Linked DNA regions of Drosophila melanogaster. The protein of the gene in region 2 interacts with the protein of the main gene of each other region in a biochemical or structural test. Each region holds a gene or a part of one and is shown on either strand. Other genes may lie near its edges. The genes, in order: pyd and Nrg.

Evidence for each region.
Region 1: the proteins of Nrg (region 2) and pyd interact in far-western blotting, tested with the Drosophila melanogaster proteins (one study listed by BioGRID).

The regions. Positions count from the first base shown.
Region 1 is NT_033777.3:8,859,289-8,869,844, forward strand, and holds the start of pyd (polychaetoid), read right to left. Parts: upstream 5,061-10,556; 5' UTR 4,954-5,060; intron 4,246-4,953; exon of another isoform or gene 4,214-4,245; intron 3,718-4,213; exon of another isoform or gene 3,706-3,717; 5' UTR 3,495-3,705; coding exon 2,775-3,494; intron 2,665-2,774; exon of another isoform or gene 2,592-2,664; intron 1-2,591.
Region 2 is NC_004354.4:8,511,827-8,522,721, reverse strand, and holds the start of Nrg (neuroglian), read right to left. Parts: upstream 5,235-10,895; 5' UTR 5,213-5,234; exon of another isoform or gene 4,324-5,212; intron 1-4,323. Other genes in the region: CG33181 (uncharacterized protein), read right to left, coding at 6,796-6,999, 7,110-7,258, 7,328-7,533, 8,051-8,198, 8,269-8,415, 8,487-8,811, 9,972-10,369. UniProt on the Drosophila melanogaster protein: Essential for septate junctions. Septate junctions, which are the equivalent of vertebrate tight junctions, are characterized by regular arrays of transverse structures that span the intermembrane space and form a physical barrier to diffusion.

The DNA.
Region 1 (10,556 bases), on a different chromosome or scaffold from region 2:
TTTTTTCTTTATTTGTAATTTCTTTGAGCGCTTGAGCACGTGCAACATTTCAAATTGTCGCTGTGTCTGTATAAGTTTTTTCGTTGTCATTTTTTTTTTTATATTTTGACACAATTATTGCTATTACGAAAAAACAGATGTTGGTGACTACGCCACCTGGTGGCTACTGCCGGTCATTACGAACTTTGGGGCGGGAGGAGTGGCAAATCGGGGCTTATGCACAATAGTCTTGCAATTGGATAATTTGATTTGTACACGAGAGCGAGCTACACTGCAACTACACATTTCGAAACTATTGTTTAGTTTGTGAACAACATTTTTAATATTAATTTACAAATTGTAAAATCAGGTCATTAATTTTAATAAAAAGAAAGTGATGGTAGATACCAAATGTGACATGATTGAGTAATATTAGGTAATAGTATTGAAATGTAGGATGTATTCGGGTAAGTGTAATCAAATTTGTATTATTTTATTGCAGCGCAGGCATAAAACTTCATGGCCCATAATTTTTGGCCAAATATATTTAAACCAGGGAGGTATTTTACCTTTGAAAAATTGTGCAATAATTGTGTCCGAAGGCTTACACTATATTTTTTAGATTTAATAATATTCTGTGACTGTTTTATTTACCTCAACACATAATTTATTTGTACATGTTGACTCTTGGGTAAATAATTTTGGTTTCTTGCTTGTCCTCATTAACTTTTTAATAATAATATTTTCTGCCCCGCATGGTTTCTTATAGTAATATTTCCACTTATAACTAATAAGCTGCCAGACTTTATTAAGATATCACACAGTTTTTTCCCTTTTTTCTTGATTGAGTTTATTCTGCCTTGCATTTTCAATAAGCTGCAGCAATTCGTCTACAAAAATATCTTGGCACGTGACTACTGCCTTGGAATACGAAATTAAAACAAAAAACTGTCGGCAAAGGAAAATCTGTAAAATGTTTTAAACAAGTTACTGGCGCAACTTTCTTCGCTTCCCCAGCGGAACCACAGAAAGATACCACAAAAGTGGAGGGGGAATGGGGGATGGGTGACGAAGTCGTGTGCTTCATTCGATTTACGAGCCACTGCAGCCAAAGGGGAAGTCCCCGTCCAGACTTGAGCTGCATCGCAATTGTTTTTTCTTTTTGTTTACTTTGCATATGAAAGTCACACTGAAGTCATTTTCCCCCAGAATTTGGCTTAAATGTCTTAACCCATTCGACCCGAGTCTAAAGCAAGAATTTAAAGAGATAAATTTATGTTCATTTCGCTTGGGTTTCCAACAGCAATTTATTTTTTTTCATCCGAGTTCTAAATGGATTTATACACACGTCGGAAGTTGAGTCATGGGCGGAGGCGAAGTACATTGGGTTTGTGTGGATTGAAAATTGTTTATGAACCAAAAATTACTTAAATTTTGTATTCAATTTTCTATCTACATAAAATTATAAAATATTTTATGATTTTTTTGTTAGCTTTTCAACTATTTTGTAAGTACTCTTCTTAATAACATTCGCCCACCGTTTTGACCATGTTTAAAGGCACAATCAACGAAACCAATTTCTCAAACTCAAGTGCTCCTCAGAGCCCGAATCTGGATTCGAAACAGAAGCGCATAAATTGTGCCCCAGGCGAATGTGGAATTAAGCTAAAACAAAAACTATATACATATATATATATCCACTAATGACGATAGCGTAAACGAAACAGAAAAACAAAAGAATAAAATCAAACCGACAAAAAAAGTCTATATCGTCATGGAAGCCTGAGCAGCAGCGGCTAAAAATGCATAAAATGGTCAGCAAAAGAAAAAGGGCCTGAAATGAAAGAGGTAAAAGGAACCGCAGCCGAGCTTTGACTTTGAAACTTTTTGAGAAATTGAAAGGCCGCAGTGAATATCATTTTGGGGGCAGGTGTGTTCGAGGATGCCAAATTAGCAGCTACCGTCTGACCACCAGCTCTCCCCTTCCTTTCATCTCCATTTCGCCTTTGCCAATCTCTCACCTCGTTTATTTCTTCATCCCATTTCCATTAATGGCCCCAAGCGAAATTTTGAACATCATTAATTTTAATTTTTGCGCAGACGCACCCCAGGGGCGGTAGGCTTCACTGCCTCCATTCTGGACACTGCAGACAAGCCACGAGTGATGACTGATGATGACCTGGCGGAACGAGCCACACTACCTCCATACATACATCCACGAATGTAATTAAGGTGGCCAAATGGAAAAAAAAGGTGCCACAGCGACAATTGAAAGTGTTGCAACGCGAGTTGACAAATTTCGATGTTGCCCAAGAGCAATGCAATGCGGTGATTGATGGCTGAGGTGGTGGTATTCAATGGCGTAAAGAATTTTAATATTAGGAAATCAAGGAATTTCCCTTAAATATATATATTCTATCTGAGGGGTAAAATAACCAACTTTAAGTCCTGTCATAAAGATTTTTATATTTACTGTTTTTAACGTAGAGTTCTAGATTTATAATCTCAAATGAGGTATTCGGATAAAAAACGATTTAGCAACTGTTAACGGTGAACTAAATTATTTGTAAAGCCCGTCTTTATGTTAGTCATATTTTTCAGAGTTGCCAACTGACCGTGTGGCCTAATGGATAAGGCGTCGGACTTCGGATCCGAAGATTGCAGGTTCGAGTCCTGTCACGGTCGTAAAATTAACTTTTTTCTTTTGTATCCAGAATTTTTTTTATTTATTTTATGAAAATGAGATTTGAGGGCATTTGGTTGCATTTATCACACTTTGTAAGTCTGTATCTCACCTTCTTGAAGCGCCTTCGCTGCGATGAGGAGTGCGTCGATGCAGTTTCGAGCAGATTGCTGTTGTTATCCCCCCCATCCCTTTTGCCCAGTGCCTGGAGAAGATCGTCAACGTTGCGTATATAGGGGCGATCTCGATCCCCGCCGCGTTCCCTTTCCTTTTCGCCACCCCCTCCACCGCCGCCCATGCAGCTGGTTATGCTCCGATTGCCCACACTATTGCTACGCGATCGGGATCTGGTCTTTTGCTTGCCCAGCCAGTAAACCTGATTTGCCAAATTTATTTCGGCGGCTGCCGCAGCCTTTCTTCTGCCCAATTGTTGTTGCTCCTGCACCTGTTGATGCTGCTGCTGCTGTTGTTGCTGCTGCTGCTGTTGTTCACTGGCCAGATATTCGCCGGCTATATGAACCTTGGGTGCACTAACCAACTGCAGGCCAGTGGCGCCGAATTGCTGAGGGAATTCGTGCAACTCGAGGGGGAAACGGGGATCCATGGTCTGACCCGGTTGACGCGGGTACATATAGCCATCGCGTAGAAACATCTTGCTGGTGGTATAGACCCTATCCGCGATTTGGTACACTCCACTCGAGCCGGGACCCTCGGCGCCGCCAATAATTCCATTTCGGACATAGGCTGTCGGGCGATAGCGAACGAGTGGGTTATATACATTCGATTTGGGGGGTTTCGTTTTGAAACTGCGACGTCGCGTGCTGGGCTTCATATTTTTGTTGTATTTAATTTTCGTTTTTGTTCGTTTGTATTTGCACCCCGCGATAACAGAATGTTTGCTCTACAGAAAATCCACCCTTGTGCTGTAGGTTGCTTGCACACGTATCAAATGTTTTCGAGTTTAAGCGTGCTTGGAACAAGCGACCGTGTGGCCTAATGGATAAGGCGTCGGACTTCGGATCCGAAGATTGCAGGTTCGAGTCCTGTCACGGTCGAAACCAAAGTATTATTTTTTTTTTGTGAGAAACTTATGTTTTGTTCTTTAAAAAATTCAATTTGTTGCAAACTAAAACCATAAAATAAATCAACAAAAACAACAAAAATTTTAAGGTTCACTTGGCTAATTTTACATAAAATCTACACTGTCTTTAGACTGACGATAGAATGTTTTATGATTACATGTAAAATTAGATCACGCAAAATTATATTTTTTTCCTTTGGAAATATATAAAAAAAAAAAAAATAAAACCAGATTAGTGTTTCAAGGGTGTTGAGTTAATTTAGAGACTTTTTGTTCTTTTTCAAATGTAATTTTCGACCGCGTAAAAGTATGCTATAGATATGGTTGAATTATTTTTCATGGCGTTCTTGTTTAACAGCGCACAAAAGCAGGCAACATTTGTGTTTTTAAAAACGCCTGAGAGAGGCCAATAAAAAAGAGATAAACCCTATAAACTATATTGAAAATAACCGATTTTTTAAGGGTTTTACGCGACCAACACGTTCGGCACACTGCACGTTCGATTTTCCACTGCAATTGTTTGATTTTATTGCAACAACTTTTTCTGCTTTTCTGTTGTTTGCTGGAAGGCACGCACTGCCAATCCAATTAGCCGGGGTTCACCTTTCGAGCCGTCGTCTTTGCGCAAGGTAAATTGTTTTTCGAACCCAAAGTATTGACACAGTTTGCGAGTCACTTGTTTTGTTAGACACATTCGTCTTCCTGAACTGTCAACCGAGCTGTCATATGGATGAGACAGAATGGAGAATAGAGAGAAAGAGAGCCATGCTAATCTGTCAACTCTGAGTTCGTTAATTAAAGACTGATTTGGCAAATAATTGTGGCTTAGCCCTGATCGACCCCAATACCAATTTACAAGCTCAAAACATTGCAAAAACTCAAAGGTACCCCGATTGGGTCAATGAATGTGCGGTCTATTGAACTTTTGATAGTATTATTGACGCCCCTTTTTCACTTAATGATTGCGAATTGAGTTCAGCCGTCGGAAAATACTTTCAAGGTTATCTTACAGGGATCATAAATATAATATCCAAATTTATAGTTAAAAACTAAGTGGAAAAGATGTGGCCAAATATAAATCCCTCTGTCTAAGTGCACATTTTTCTTGTTTAATATATTCAAATTTTCCCTTTCTTTTATCACTTCTGTCACTCCACTTAATTCAATGGCCCTTCTCAGTTTCAATCTGTCAACTTCCTATTATTTCCACCTTATCTGTTTGAGGTTTGTCTTTCTAACACTTCCGCCTACGAAAATCGTTTATTTTTGGTGTGGATTTCTTTTCGTTTCAATCGCGACGAGGCTCAAATACGAACTAAACTGAAATGAATTCAATGAATTTGAAGAGCCTATCGGACACGAGAACATTTTCCAATGGATAGCGTTTCCAGCCGGAGAAGAATACAAGAACAAAAGTGATTGCGATAAAGCTTGGACTGAGCTGAGCAGAGCCCAAGTGAAATGAGACGAAATGAGGGGCTTAAGCCAAACAAATACACCCCTTAAAAGCGTAAATTGTGAAATGGGGCAGATGTTTGGGGGAAAAAACCAAGAATGAAAAGGTTTGAACGATGAACCTCGAGCTATTTTAAAACCACACCCAAATATTTAATACATATCAATCAAGTTCTATGATGTTATGACAAAAAATGGTTTGAGAAACTCTATTTTGTTTTAAGAGGCTCCAAAAGATTTTTATGTTTCTAATTCCATGGAAATACGTATATTTTCTTTGCATAAATCATTGTACTTACAAAGAATTCATCTTCGATGACGGGATCGGCCAGCATCTCAATGGCCTCCGTCATGGATCTGCAGGTGCGATTCGTGTTCTTCTTCTTCTTGAGCTTCCGGCCCAAGGTGGCGGCATCGCTGAAGCGATGAAGCAGTTTGTCCCTCTTCCGGACCGCCAGCGGACTGGTCGTCGAACTGGCGTGACATAACAGCGATCCGTAGCCATTCGTAGAGGATATGGTGCCAGTATTAGCGTAGAAATTCTGCGGTTGATATTGCGCCGGAGCAGTGAGTGTGCTGTTCGAGTCGATTTTCTGTATGAGATTGTACTCGGATTGGGGATATTTGCTGGCCAAATGCGATACAGAATCCGCTTTGGAACCCAATTGCGGCTTGGGTGGCGGCGGTGGCGGTGGATCCTTCATCAAGGCCACCCGACGGGGGGCGGCGCGGGGTATGGTGGCCGAATGGGGGGAGGAGGTGGCGTCACCGCCATAACTAACAGCGCGACGATTGCGATCGTTTTCCTTTTCCCTGAAAGGAAATTTAAATTTAATTTATTAGAATTTTCAATGTATGTTTTACTTGATAATAATAGAACTAAATATGTTTTAAGTACTAAACACAATGTAAATCTACCTATAACGCCTCCTCTGCATCGGTGGACTAAAGAAGAAGTTGGGCGACAGGGGTACAAAGTAACCCCATTGGGGATCTCGATTCGGTCCCTCATGATACATGCCCAACTGGGGCGTCATCTCCCTGGATCGACTGGATCTGAGAATGGGCATGGAAACCCTCTGTGGTCCGAAACTTCTATTAGAGCGATACCGATTCCTATACATATGACGCTCCAGTGAAGATGTGGTGGTCGTAGCATCCGATTCCAGGGTGCAATCCGAATGATCCTTGTTCTCCAGGGTCACATTACTGCCCAGCTCATCGTCATTATCATCATCATCATCCGTGGAACACTCGGGCACCGTATAGCAGGCATAGTCGAATTGCGACATTGTAGAATCGTTTTTCTTATGTCTTTATTTGTTTGGCTTTTCGTTTGCACACACATTTAGTTCTTTGTCATTGTGTCTTTGCGACTCCCACGTAAAATGTTTCAATTATTTAATTAGTCTGCAACTTGTTGCTGTTTTTTATTTGAGTGCTTTACTTTTATTTTTACCTGACAAATGTTAAATGACATTTTCAGTTGGTCTGGCACTTAATTGCTCCACTAGAGTTTGGTCATGTCTTGGATATTTTCTGGTGGCAAAAGAACATTATTTAAGGCATTTATCATGTTCACCCTCTGGACAATTGTGCTTCCCGCCAGAAAAAAATTTCAGGGGTTGTGTATGTCCAGTGGGCACAATTAAAAGTCGTTTTCGGCCTCTGTTGAAAAGTTCGCCTAATGAGGTGTTGAACGGAAGACGTTCTAGTTATGATACTTAACTTGGCCACGACTTTTTACAGACAATTTACTACGGTCCGAAACACAAAAGAAATCAGTGGGAAAGCTAAAAGGGCATTTAACCGAAAGTATTTCATAATTGTTAAGTAAAATGTTCTTTTAGGAATCTTATTGTTAATTTACTATATCTGTATGTATGCACGAAAGGCAAATTTAACTTTGCGGCCTGGCTAGCTAGTAAATTTGCAGACTAAACGTTCATTATTCATTAATGGGGTGAAAAAGGAAAGTGTCAACAGTGAAATCCATCAACATTGCAATTAAAATGTCAAACAAGGAAGTGACTGAGTGGCAGACTCCCGTTTAACCCGCACTTCCTATATACCAAACCAACCCCCCACTAAAAAACGAACTCCACATTATACAGAAACTCTCTATAAAGAGGCTCCATCCATCCATAATGATGATGCAAAAAGTGATCCCCGAGGGGAAAATGTGTAACTGGAGAGTCCAATTGCAGAATTCACAGACAACGACACTCCGGATATGAAGATTACAACGGATTTGGGTTGCCACTCCCGCTGTTGTTTATATTTATTTTATTGTTGCAATTATTTTCCTCTTTACAGCATAGAATTGCATATTAAACGTGATTAATGACAAACGAGAGAAATGGGGGAAAACAGCCGGATGGATAGGCGCGTAGTATAAAATGATGTATAATTTTTGATTGCGCAAAGGAAAATTAGCATATGAGGCGCCTGTGTTTATGGAAATGGTGAAATCAGTCAGAAAAAGGGGAGCAAATCATTTGCATGGCTGGTCGCCAATTCTAAAAAATGTTTCAAATTATTTATAGATAATTGTTGAAAGCAATTATCCTTATTATTTCATTTTTTATTATTTATATTTATTTCTGTTACTTTTTATTTCAATATTTAAATATTTTTCATTGCTTATTTGTTTATGGCGAGTCCATTGTCCACACTGCTCACTGATTTGCTCGCGTAAATCATTCTAAAAATACTTTGATTGGGTCAGCGAATTTCCCAGTAATTTTCAAAACATATCCCAATTTTTCTGTACTATATCATTTACAATTGTTAATAACGAAACACGAGCGCACACACGAAAATGTTCTTAGATATAAACTAAGATAGAAAAGTTCAAATAAAACGTGATTTTTCTTTTCGAATAGAACTTTTCACTTCACGCCGCGGCTGTTCAAAGTAAATGTGCTGACCGCCGGCAATTTCCGAACTGATTTCGAATAGAGCCACGGAAATCTCGTAGCCGCCGTGGGGCATCCACCAACAAATACAACCCTCTCGGACGGAAACATGCGCGACAGACTCGAAAATCGTCGAAAACACTGAGAAAATTGGGAGAGTGAGTTATTTGTGCTGCGGCAGTGGAGAAGGGGGTGGGGGGAAGACGTCAAGCGGAAGAGAGTGCGCCAAATAAGAACAAACATTCTGTTTGACTAAATTGCTCAATATCGGGGGACCAAAATAAAAGCATCAACGAAGAGCGTCGGACAAAGGGAAAAGAAACAAATCAGAGGAAAATATTAGCTTGTATAAAAGAATAAAGACTGCGAAATACCCTTTCATATTTAATGTAAAAAAAAAAATATAAAGAAAATTGATTTTATAAAAATCGAATGACACAAAACAACACCTTAAAATCCCATGTTAGTATGTACATAATAATATATACCATTTTCATATTAAAACTATAAATATAAACAAGAAATATGGTAGGTTATCTTTATACCATAATATTTTTGTTTTTAGCAAATTTTCTCAAATTTAACTGTTGTGGCAACCAAGTTTTGGTCCGAGTATATATACTTTTTGGAAGGGTATTACAAGAACCGAAACATTCTCTGTGGAGACAATTCCCTGGATAACGAGGTGCACACCCAAAGTTTCCATATGCCCGTGGGTCTTCGTGTGTGAAATGTCATGCAAAATAAATGTCAGCCGCTTAAAAATTAGTCCCTCTCTCTTTCTATCCTTTGCTTTCTGCAGCTTGTCTTAAATTGCCATGACTCTTCAGAAAAAATTTATAGAAAAACCAAAAAAAAAAAAACAAAGTAAACTGTTTCTGTTGTTATTGGTGTTATTAAAAATAAACACAGATGAAGTGGTGGTGTCTTGCTTGGGTGCCCCACCAAGAAAACGCAACATTTTCACTTGTCACGCATTTATTTTCCCATTTTCCATGTCCGAAAATGTGTGTCATTTGGGCCAAGACGACGTCTGCGGCTTTTATTGACATCTGCCTTTGTCTGCTCACTTTTCTTGCAATTGGTGAGATTAATGAAAGGAAAGGGCGCAGTGCACCCGGTTCGATTGAAAGTTCTATCAATTACACTTGTTAATTAAAGTTGGGTGTGGATTAGCCCGCATTTCGAGTATTTCTCCCCTGGAGGGGTGTGAGTGTGTGTGTGTGCGGCGGTGTTTTGATAACAATTGCATGACCGCCGCACAAATGCAATTAAATCAGTTCTAAAACGGGCGTGCTGGCTACGAGTACATGGAACTTAAATCCAATTGCCCGAGAGCGTTAAATTAACAATGCAGGCAGCAAATGGAACCAAATGGAATGGCATCGATCGACCATTCTGTCCATATATATACATAGTACATATATATATATATATATGTATATAGTGACGTATTTGGGTGGTCCAAACCAGCCACTTCCATTATTTCAAAGAAATCAGTAATGCACTCTAGTAATTTTCCATAACGTATCCCAGCTGCGCAGCATTCGTTTATCTTTGGCAGCGCAGCCGTTCTTGTAAACATCCTAAAGCCTGACCTAAGCAGATTTGACTGCCCTCTTTCAACGCTACCTAATCTTAAGAACCCAAGAGCGAGGCTCTCCCGAAATACAAATATTGTTCAAATACTGAGGCTTCTCCTCAATCCAATTTGCATTTGATTTTTAGTCTTAAGCTGAGATCCAAAGAATAAAGTCGTGAAACTATTTCTCCTAAAAACTATTTTTTATTTCTTGGCGTTGTCCTTAGTCAACTGACGGGACATTAGTTCGACTCATAAATAAAACAACAATTTTACTGGCGCAGTCGGTAGGATACAAAAGTATCCGAAAAAAAAGAACCTTCGAGTGGAAAATAAGTTAAATTTTATAGTCCAGTGCTCGAAACATCTCCCAAAATAAATTCGTGAAAACTCTTCAACTTGGATTATAATTCCAATTCGGTTATCCAATAATAAGTGGAAGTGAAATACGAAACAAAAATATTAAGTCCAAAGGCAACTAAGTTTTAAAACCAACATATAAAAATAAAAAAATTAAAACAATATAGAATTTTAATAATACAACACAAAAATTTACAAAACAAAAAAAACAAACAAGTGAAACTAGAAAGCTTAAAAATAATAATAACATTGAATCCGAAACAAAACAAAAAAAAATAAAACACAAAAGTTAAAAATTTTACAATAAAAATGTCACAACCAATTATTGCGCTGAGCGACATAAACCTTGCCGAAGCCCGTCGGCAGCTTAAAGACATTATGCCATTCAAGGGTGATCCAGAAACCCTTCACACCTTTATCAGCAGAGTGGATTACGTAATTTCGCTCTACCAAACAAATGATGTCCGACAACAGAGGATTCTACTGGGAGCCATCGAA
Region 2 (10,895 bases):
TGGGTGTGTCCGATAATACATAAATAAACAAAAAAAAAAAAAATATACCTGAAAAAAAATGAACAAACACACAAATCGGGAAAGATATAAGCTTGAATTGGCTTTGAGTCACAATTTGAGGCTGGAAAAAAGCTCCATAAAACGACGAAGCTTTATTTGTTGTTTGTTTAAGACTGGAAACAAACTAAATGATAAATTCGATCAAATACGAGTAAATGCCGGCAAAAAAAAATTGTTTGCATTTGCAGAAAATGAAACGCGATCGCCTGTAGATCGCAAATATACAAGTAAATAATGATAAAGTTTTCAAGATAATTTCACTTTATTGCGTTGTCTTGTTGATTGATCAATTAAATCGCAACAAAAGTTCAATAATCTGTAATTGTACATTACGTATTGCAAATGCAGTAAGAGGAGCAAGTTAACCCACTTAAAAGTAGTTTGCAATGATCGTCTGAATGGTAATTCAATTGAGATATTTTTATTTCGAAATACCAGTTGCCTTTCAAACTCAGCGTTTCTTTCAGTTTAATTAAAAAAAAGTGCCATGCCCCTTTTTCTACGCCTGCTCGCATTTAACCCAAATGACAAGAGGGTCCCCAAGTAGCCCCATTGGGCATGGAAAATGGTGAAAATGGTGAAAATGCAAACAAGAAGTTGGCGGTGAGTGCACAAGAACTAAAACATAGCGAAAAGCTAATGCAAATTGCACTCGCTACTCCTGTCTGTCTCCCTTTTTCCCATATTTTTTTTTTTCTACTTCTTTTTTTCGTCTATTTGCAACTGTGCCACATGGGGCTTTTCTCTGGCGTCTTTTCCCGCTTTCCATCCGATTTCCCAGGCCGAAAACACTTAAAAGTGCAATGCACTTTTAGACGCCGGCAGAGCAGCGGTACTGGCACCTAGAGCAGCCGCAAAAACGGCTGATAAAACAAGCGAAACTAACAAACTAACAAAATGCACTTGGCAAAAAAATGGGCGCAGAACATAGAAGCCAATTATTAGTCAGGAAATCAAAAATGCAATACTACAAGCACTTATTTTTTAAATGCTATAATATAGTAGTGTTCTGCGTTATAATTGGTATATCAGCTAAAGTTAATATGAATTTCAAATATAAGCAACTTTAATTACAAGATTAATTATTTAAAACAAGCACATTTTTTTTTCTCAGTTTCGAAAAAAAGCTTGGCAACGAAAAATGATAAATAAAAGTAAAACAACAGACATCTAAGCGCGATAACCGCGAAAACCGCGAACCGGCATCGCATCCCCTTAACCCACAAGAGTACAGGCACACTTTGCCGCCTTAACCCTTATGCTTTCAACAAAAGTTTAGCTAGAAAGAAAATTGAGATGATTGATTCGGAATTCTATGAAGTTTTTTCGGTGTTTATCTTTATTCAAATCAAAGCACATCCGCTCAAAAAATTGTTAAGCTTATATCAAATGCTACAAATATATTATCAATTTAAGTAATAATACATTTTCCTACATTTTTATACGAAGAATTGGTAATCTTGATGAGCGTTTCAAATAACTAAATGTTGGTTCATTTACCAGAAAGCATGGTATGCCATGCAAATAGCAAATCGGATATGATATATGTATATAGTTTGTTTAAATAGGGAAAAAAAAAATGAAATGTGGGGAAACTAACCAAGAAACAGGCCAATTCTCGAAGGCAATGAATGATGACATCAGCACGCCGTTTTTGTGTGTTTTCTGTTTGTTTGCGGAGTAGCGAAGTGAAAAAAAGCTGTATTTCCTGGCTTTTACTATTGATTTTGTGAACGAGAAAGGATTTTTTTTTTTTTTGGATTTTTTCATTTTTGTTGTTCTTTTTTGGCCTGAGGCCTGCGACATGCGACATGCAACATTTGAAATGACATCATAAAAGGATTTTGTTCGTGGCCAACGGACGGAATTGGATTAAAAACTGGTCGCAGAGCGGCAGAAATGTCGAATGAAAATGACGCAATCGCCATCAGCCACAGCTGTTCAAGAGATGAAAAGACTAAAAATGAGATCCGAGAAGACCGTCCACATGGTAGAGCTTCGAAAAAGATACAGATCGCGGCGATGATATCAATATATATCCAACACACACACACACACATTGCCGCACAAAAACGCATAAATTTATAGGTACATATATACATATGTATGTATTTATCCACTTGGAACGCACAAATTTGTGTACGAGTATATATGCCTGCTGATTCCTACCAGCTCCCCCAACTTTTTGGGGCGTTCCATTTTAATTATAACAAATGCCAGGCAATTGCACGCCCAAAAAAAATATGAAAATATCAACATAAATCTCTCATAAATTGCGCGAGAGTTCGCAGATAGATATCGATGATATCATATTATGTATGTATGTATGTACATTCAGCAGCCAACAGAAGTGACAAAACCAATATAGTGCCTCAAGTGTGAATCAAGAATTGATCGACTCAAAAGTAGATAACACACAAATTACAAAAGCCCCAGGAGAATTGATAAACGAAAAGTTCGCCTCTGGCGTTCAAGAACAATTCAATTACGAGGAAAATCACCCAAGATCATACACATGTATGTAAGTGGCAATATGGAATATATTTGAGGTTTAGGAATCCAAGATATAGGAAAAAGCTCCCAAGTAACCAAGTAAATCCAAGAACATATAAATATATGTAAGAGAGTAATCAGTGATCTGCGTATGATTTATTGTTGACAAATTGAAAATTTATATGCGAAAAATCACCAAATAGCAAATAGGCGAAGCATGACCAAAAAAAAAACAGTAAATAGTAGATGCTTTGTACCTATTCAAATGGCCTCGAGTGTGAGTGTCCATTTCAGTACCTACTCAATTAATGAACTGCTTTAATTATGCTTGACTTTTCCAATTGTTAATGGCATAAATTATAGGGGATGTTTCTCTATCGATAAAGCTTCAATGTTTCGTTTCAAGTTCTTTTCTTATCGCTCTCATTGAAAACGATCCCAGTTACTGGAGGTTAGCCTCATTGAAAGGGGACTTGAATTTATAAATAATAGTAATAGTCTTTCACATGCAACATGGAAATATTCTCCGATCACCTTGGCCTTGATTTTTTCAAAGTCAAGAATGGCCGAAAATTATCATCACACTGTGCTTGAAATAAAAAAAATAGCTGCGATTACATATCAGCAAAGTGACTTTGGATTTGGTTTCGTTTGCTTAAACATTTATTCTTGAATTAACTTTTGAAATTTGCACTTAAATTTTTTTTTTTTTTTTTTTTTGCTGTTGTGGTCGCCGGTTGATAAAACTTGTTATCAAAAACTCGTACAATTTTAGCAAATATTTTTTATTTAAATACTTTTAATATGTTGTAAGCATGTGAAGTAATATCTTCATCACTTATTGTATCTTGTATCTTTAGCCGGACATCCCCACACCAAAAGGCCAACAAGGGCATTTATTAACTAGCTAATTTTTAATGCTGCTTCAGTTGACGCAGTTTCAGTTTCTGTTATTTCTTTATTTATTTATTATTATTTTTCTTGATACGTTTTTGGGTCGATTCGGGGCGGAGGCATTGCTGTCGACGGCGTTGCTGGGGCGGAACGAACTGCCATATACATATGCATATATGTACATACATATATATAAACCTATTCACAACGATGACGTCGTCGCGATGACCGCATGGTCAAAAGCAAAAACCACAAAAAATAGCGGAGAGAAGTACAAAATGTATATATTTACCTAACTAAACTCAATTCAGTTTGCAATTGAGAATCATTGAAAAAAATTGAAAATCAGTTGTTTCAGATATTGCTAAATTTAAAGAATTTTAAAGTAAATGAATTAAATGGCTTAGACGAAAATAAAACTGAAAACGCTAAAAGATTGTTTGTTTTTTGTATCTTCTAAATTGTAAATGGAAAACCCGTTATCTCTGTACTTGAGGTATGAAATCGAAAGAATTTAGAGAGAAATCGCTAGGAACGTGGAAAGTACATGTGAAAATGCGAGAAGAGCGCCAAAGTGGCGACGAACGAGGGAGAGGGCAAAAAACGTAAAAAGAGCTCAAAAAGTGATCTCTTGAAGCTGCCCCACCTTACACACACACACACACACACACACCAAAACAAGAACACCGACACACGCACACACACATGCCGTAATTCGCGCTCATTGTCTGCGCTCTTCTTCTTCGTCACCATCTTCGCTAGCTGCTAGAAAACCTGTTTTAGAGCCACCAATAAAAATGAAAAGAAAAAAACAGTGTGTGTGGAGTTAAGATTACGCCCTTGGACGAAAACTTGGTTCAAATCCATAATGCTTACCTTTAAGTCATAGAAGCCAGCAGCAGCAACAACAACTAGATGACGGGATTCTGCCAAAAAGCGCTCAAGAATCCAAAACTCAAAACTCAGGTAAGAGAGAGAGAGGAAGGCGGGAGAGGGCGACGCGCCAAAGCGTGAGAGACGGAGCGAGTGAGAAGGAGCCACTCAATAACTCGCTTACGAAGTTTTGGCTTCGTGGTAAATACATATGTACATACAAAAACAACTAGAATACAACAAAAAAATAGGAAAAATAAAAAAAACACAGAGCTTTAAATGTTGAGGTTTTGAGCGCTCTTGTACAGTTAATGGCGCCCATTGTTGCTGTTGTTGTTGCCTTTGCGTGGCTTTTGGCGTCCTCCGATTTGCTCTCCTTCTCCTTTTTTGTTGTCATCGTGTGCTTCGTACAATATTGCATTGCCATTCATTTTTAATCAATTGCATTAATGAAAACCATCAACTATTTAACTTTTTGGGTGCGGCACAGTGTGCAAAGTAAAAAAACAACAAAAAATGAAGGTGGAAGTAACGCAAGGAGACAAACAATTTTGTTTTGGGTTTTTTTTTCTTCCTTTCGTTTGGCAACCAATTTTTCTTATTTTTTTAAAACAATTCCCAGACAAGCACACCCGCACACTCACACACACGAACGCACACTAAAAAAAAAAAGCGAAGGCAGAGCTAAAACCAATTTATATATTGGCGGAGTAAATAAGACAATTTTCTACGCGGCGTCAGTTCGTTTTTTTTCCTCTTTTTTTTACTATTTTATTTTCAATTCCCGGCGCTCACTAACACTAACACCGACGCATATACACACACACTGGGACAGTTATGTTATACACGCGGAATTTTTAGGAAAAAATAAATAAAGTTAGTGCTTAAACACCCAAATAACGATATATATTCGCTCGGCTGCGAATATGTATCGCGGTGTTTTCGGCGTAGTTTTCAGTAAATACGATTTGGCGGACATACACAACCAGCAGCGCGGATATTTTCTTTTCGAATGCGGAGAGGAACTGCCAGCCTCGCGAACGGTAACAATCGGACGCACGGAATGCGGGGTGGCATCACCGACAAACTGGTTTACGGTTATCGATATTTATCTAAGATATACCAACTATCGATTGATTACCAGGGATGCGATATACTTTTAAATAACCTACGCTCTTATCGATATTTGTAACTCTTTAGAGACTCTTATCGATAGTGTGTTCAATGCTACCCATAACATGAATGATATATCGATTGATGAACTGGGCGCCAAAATATTCAAATTCAAATGGTTTTACGTTTTAATTACAATTCTGAGCAACGCTAAACAGAAACATAATTAATTATAAAGATATTGAAACTATTTGGATTTCTTTCGTTTATTCCAACATATTTATTTAATTGGTATTATTGTTTCAAGTATTACACAATATTGATGCCTTTTCTCTTACGTTTTCAATTAATTTATTATTATTATTATTATTATTGTTATAACTAAATATCGATCACATTTCCTTTCAGAACGTCTCTCATTCTCATCATTTTAATCCCTGTTCACTTTTTGATGCGGAGCAGAACGCACAAACTCCTGCATACACACTTCCTTTCCATCGTCCTAACTAATTTGCAATCATATATATCGCAATTCGCGGTTTAATTATTGCTTCTCCTATTTCTTTTTATCGCTCGCGCTCTGCGGGGGGGAAATGGAAAGGGGGATGGAAGGGGACAATGAGAAAAGTAATATTAAAAAAAAAAACAAAATCGAAAGCGAGACTTGCAAAAATCAAATCTGCGCTAATACTACATAATTGGTTAAGTGTAAATTAAGGATTTAAGTAGGCTCTATTTACGTCTACGTTTTGCAATTATTATTTGGCTGTTTAAGGTAATCAAGAGCGAAAGAATCAAGAACCAAAGTGGGAGAAAACAATTTGCGTGGCGTAAATGTTCTTTTAGTAATTCTTCGTCGTCTTTTTCTCCCTATACAATGTATATACTTTTCTTTAAATGTGTATAATATTGTCCTAAAAGCCTTAAAAAATATGACGCAGCGGCCTGCAATTCTACATATGCCTATATATAGCCTGTATATATACCATAATCGCACATAATTTCTCGGTAGAGCAAAAGGAACACAAGCAAAAGCCATGTGAAGAAGGACACAATGTAAAATGATATCATATCTCTTAATATCTCTCGCCTCGAGCATTCGACATGCATCATTAAAAGTTAGTTCGTTTTATAGCGGTTTCCGTTTCCGTTTCCGTTTGGTGTTGGGAGGTTTTTTTTTTTTGTCTTGGATTTAAGATTTTTGGGTGGCTGGAGGAGGCTGGCTATACGTACAATTTCTATGTTTTCTGTATATTTGTTTTAGGTACATAACAGTTCTTTATATTGTATGGTGTGTGTGTATGTGTGGCTGCCTTGTTTATCGTTCTACGTTACTCCGTACTCCCTATTTCGTTAGCTACATTAGTTAGGTGCGTTTAGTGTCTCCATTCCGGATCCGTACTGCATGCCCACCGACATGGTGAAGAGCCACGCCACCGCCAGCAGACTGCTGCCGAGCAGATCGCCCAAGGCCGTCAGGTAGGGTATGGCCGAGTTATCCGGATCGATCTTCCACTTCCACATCGCGTGCACAATGATGTGGGCAATATACAGCAGCAGCATCACCTGAAACGATCGCAGCACATTAGCGTTGTGTTTTCGGAGGGTTTATAATGACATATGTATGTATGTATGTACATACATCAGCAAACGGCCTTAGCATATTCAAAACTCACCTGAACCAAACTGGCGGTCAAATAGGAAAGCACAAACACCCAGGTGACCGTCGAGGTGCTATAGTTTATATAGTCAGCAGCAAAGATGAACAGAACATTGCCGGGTATGGACATGGCAATAAGTATCCTCGCTGTCTTCGCATAGGGAACTGTATGAAGAGCACAAATGAATAATAACCCGATTCCATTACCAATTGCCAATTCTGATTGAGACCTACCTCCTTTGAAGAGCGCCCGCCAAGGCCACTCGAAGATCTGCGTGTGCGGTGGTATAATCCCGATAATTGAGCTCTGGTGCAGCATTGTGGATATCTTGCTGGCCTGCACCGATACCAGATTGCCGCCGATTCCGTTGATGATCGGTTGAAACACTACGAATCCATTAAACACCTCGACGGCGGCATCCAACACAAGGCCACCCAGACTGTAATGAGATGAGGGAATGATTCAGTAATCGGATCAGTTAAATACAGCAGTCAGTAGTTGCACTTAAACCCATTGTTGACTTCATTTCATTTGATTTTAATTCTGATTCGAACCAACTCAAGTGTGTTTGTCTTTTGAAGTTCTATTGCCGTAAATTTCCCAGTCATGGCGAGTAATTACGCCCGGGAATTCAAATCCTAATGCTAAATTCTAATTATAAGAGCACTTGACCTGTCGCCAAACACGAGTCAGGGACATCAAACCGTGCGAATGATTCCCATGGTCTCGGCTACTCATTACTCCCCACAAAAAACAATCGCCTGGACATGATTGGGCATTAAATGAAACGATCTGATATATCTAAATATAGCGGCCAGCTTGACGTCTTTTCTGCTTATCATGGTACCCCAATTTTATTGTCCCTAAGATTCGAGAGTTCGATCCAATCGAATCGAATTGATTTGCCAGAGTGCGCAGTTCGTAGTTCCCAGTTATTATTAGTACGCAGTACGTACCCACTTATGCAGAGGGCCGAGAGGACGGGAACCCATCCGCTCTTTAGCACCGGCCGCGTGTACTCGTTCCTCAGCACGATCATCACCCACATGGGCAACAGCACCAGGTAGCAGGTGACCACGATGAATGTGATCCACAGGTGCGTTTCTGTGCGAAAATGAACAGCCATTAGTTAGATATACACAAATGGATAATATAATATAATATAGACACATACTGATATGATCGTACAGCAGCGAGGCGATAAAGGAGAGCAAACTGATGGACACCACGTCACCAATGGAGGCGGCCAACGGTGTGGCCAGGTTGTCCGGATTGAGGCGGTACTTCTGCGAGAACAGGATTACAGCCACCAAAACGAAGTCTAAAATTAAAGAAACGCCATTAATATAATTGAGAGTGTATGGAATGGAAAAGTCGCAGGTGCAATCCTACCCAGCACAAAGCACGACGAGGTGGCCGTGAACATGGCCGAGGCAGTCAGCAGCATCATGTTCTCGAAATAGAAGTCACCGGTCATGGCCGCGCCCACGCTCACCGCAAACATGGCCACCAGAAAGGAGGCCACCGTCGCCTGGACCTGCACCAGTGCTATGTTCCCCACTATCATCCGTATTACGCCCTGTCTGCTGGTCATGTTGCCCAGATTCACTTGCGTGGAGAGACGCGATGCCAGGCACATGTCCAGGTTGCCCTTGAGACCCAAAAGTGCCGGCACCAGGATGAACAGCTCGCTTACGTTCTTGAAGACATACCATTTCTGGTTAAATTGGGCGAGAGAAAAGGGAATATAAGAAATTAATGAACGGATAGATCGGATTACTTACTTGGTTACAACAACTTATTAACAAGTAATTATATTTTCGTTGAGAACCTTATTAAAAATACACCTTCTCTAATTCCCAATTAAGTTCTAAAGCAAATATTTGAGCATATTTATGGCTCAGCAATAAATCTCCTCCAGATTTAACCAATATTTTCAGTTCGTTTCGGGCATTGGCCGCCTGTAACTGGCTGAGTCTCCAGTTTGGCCCAGAAGTTTTACCATCAATTAGCGGGCAAATTAAACGTTAACTATTTAACACGCATGTACTATGCATATCTGCATGTGTATACTTCACAGCCATAAATAAAACATTCTAAAAGGAATTGTGCCAATTCACCAGGTACACAAATCGTGGGGAAAGGTTTAAAAATAGCCGAGCTTTGTCTGGTTTCAGTTTGATTGAGTGGCTCTTGAAGTCTTGAATCTCGAACAGATTGTTTAAGTGTAATGCGTACTTATAGCTGATTTCTAATTTTATCACGTGGCTTCATCGCACAGGATTATTGATGAGGCAAAGCCATAAAGTGTCCTTATCTGCATAATTGTATTTGCTGTAATTTGTTGGTCTTATCAAATGGTGACATATGCTTGCAAATAAATATATAATCTTGTCACTTCTCATAATCATTCGATTTACCTATGGATGTATGTTTACTCTTTCGCTGCTTGGAATTTTCCCACACAATATGATGAATTCAGCTCAAATGTGCAATTAACTAATTTGCGATTTACTTTGTACTTGACTTGGTGTAAAACCCATTTTATGGGGCACCCATTCCATAGAGCAAATTTTTACAATTTTACAATTTAATTTGGCGTAATTAACGCTGTCGTTTCTATTCGCCTTTCTTGGCGTTTGTACTTGTCGAACTGAAGGGAGATTAAATACCTTAAACTGTATCAGTTTACCAAGTCTATTCTATTGCAATTTAATTATATTTAAAGCTGTCTAATTGATGGATAAATACGAATACACAAAGTAGGGAAAGTACATTTGCATTTCAAATTAAAAGTATAACTATTCGAACATCTTATTGCTATTATTTGCTTCTATTTCATATTAATATACTATTGATTATAACAAATGGACTCACCTCAACGCGTCCCAGGACAATGCCAGCTCCGATGGTACCAATCCCGGCCAGAAAGAACGGAATGGATACCTGCAGTAGGATAGTTGTCCACTTCTCCTGCTTGATGCCGGGTCGATTGAGCGCCAACTTCTCCTCGGAGCTGCCATTGATGCCGGCAATGCTGGAGGCATCCGCTGCCACCAGGGCACCCGATCCGATACCGCCATTGCCTCCGCCGCCGCCGCCGCCGCCACCTGCTCCTCCTATTCCGCCGCCGCCGCCGCCGCCGCCGCCGCCGCCGCCGCCGCCGCTCACCGCTCCAGGATCCGGTTCGGAGGATGCTATGGACGTCGTGATGATTGAGCTTAGTGAACCGGTTGTCGAATGTGGTAGGCCCGACAATTTCTCATTGTCGGGATCTGGGTTTTCAATCGGATTATTTCGCACGGGGGAAAGAAACGAAACGAAACGAAACGAAACGAAAGAAGAGGATTGCAAGATGCGGGTTAGTTTTGGGGATCAAGGCGCAGATCGTAGATTAGATGTGTTCCAAGTGGGTCGCCGGATTAGGTGCTCGGGTCTCTCTCTCGTACATGGCTACTACTTTTATATATCATATAAATAATTGTTGCATGCATTAAATAGACTAGTGCCAGTGCTTGAGTGTGCGTCTGTGTGTGGCATGCATTTAAATTTAGCTGTATTATGCAATTAGCAAGGCAATTAATTAGCAATGCTATAAATTAAGCATCTACACAAATAAATATAATCTATGTGCTTGTGTCACTGATTTTCTGTGTTTTATTCATTTCAGTTTTTTTTTTCGACAGTCTCCAGGTGGAGTCTTCTTCAAGCAGAAGCAAAAAAAAAAAAAAAACAAAGAAAAAAGGGGCAAAAAAAACTCGTTTGATTAGAATTCTCGCATATATATTTGCGTTTTCGGTT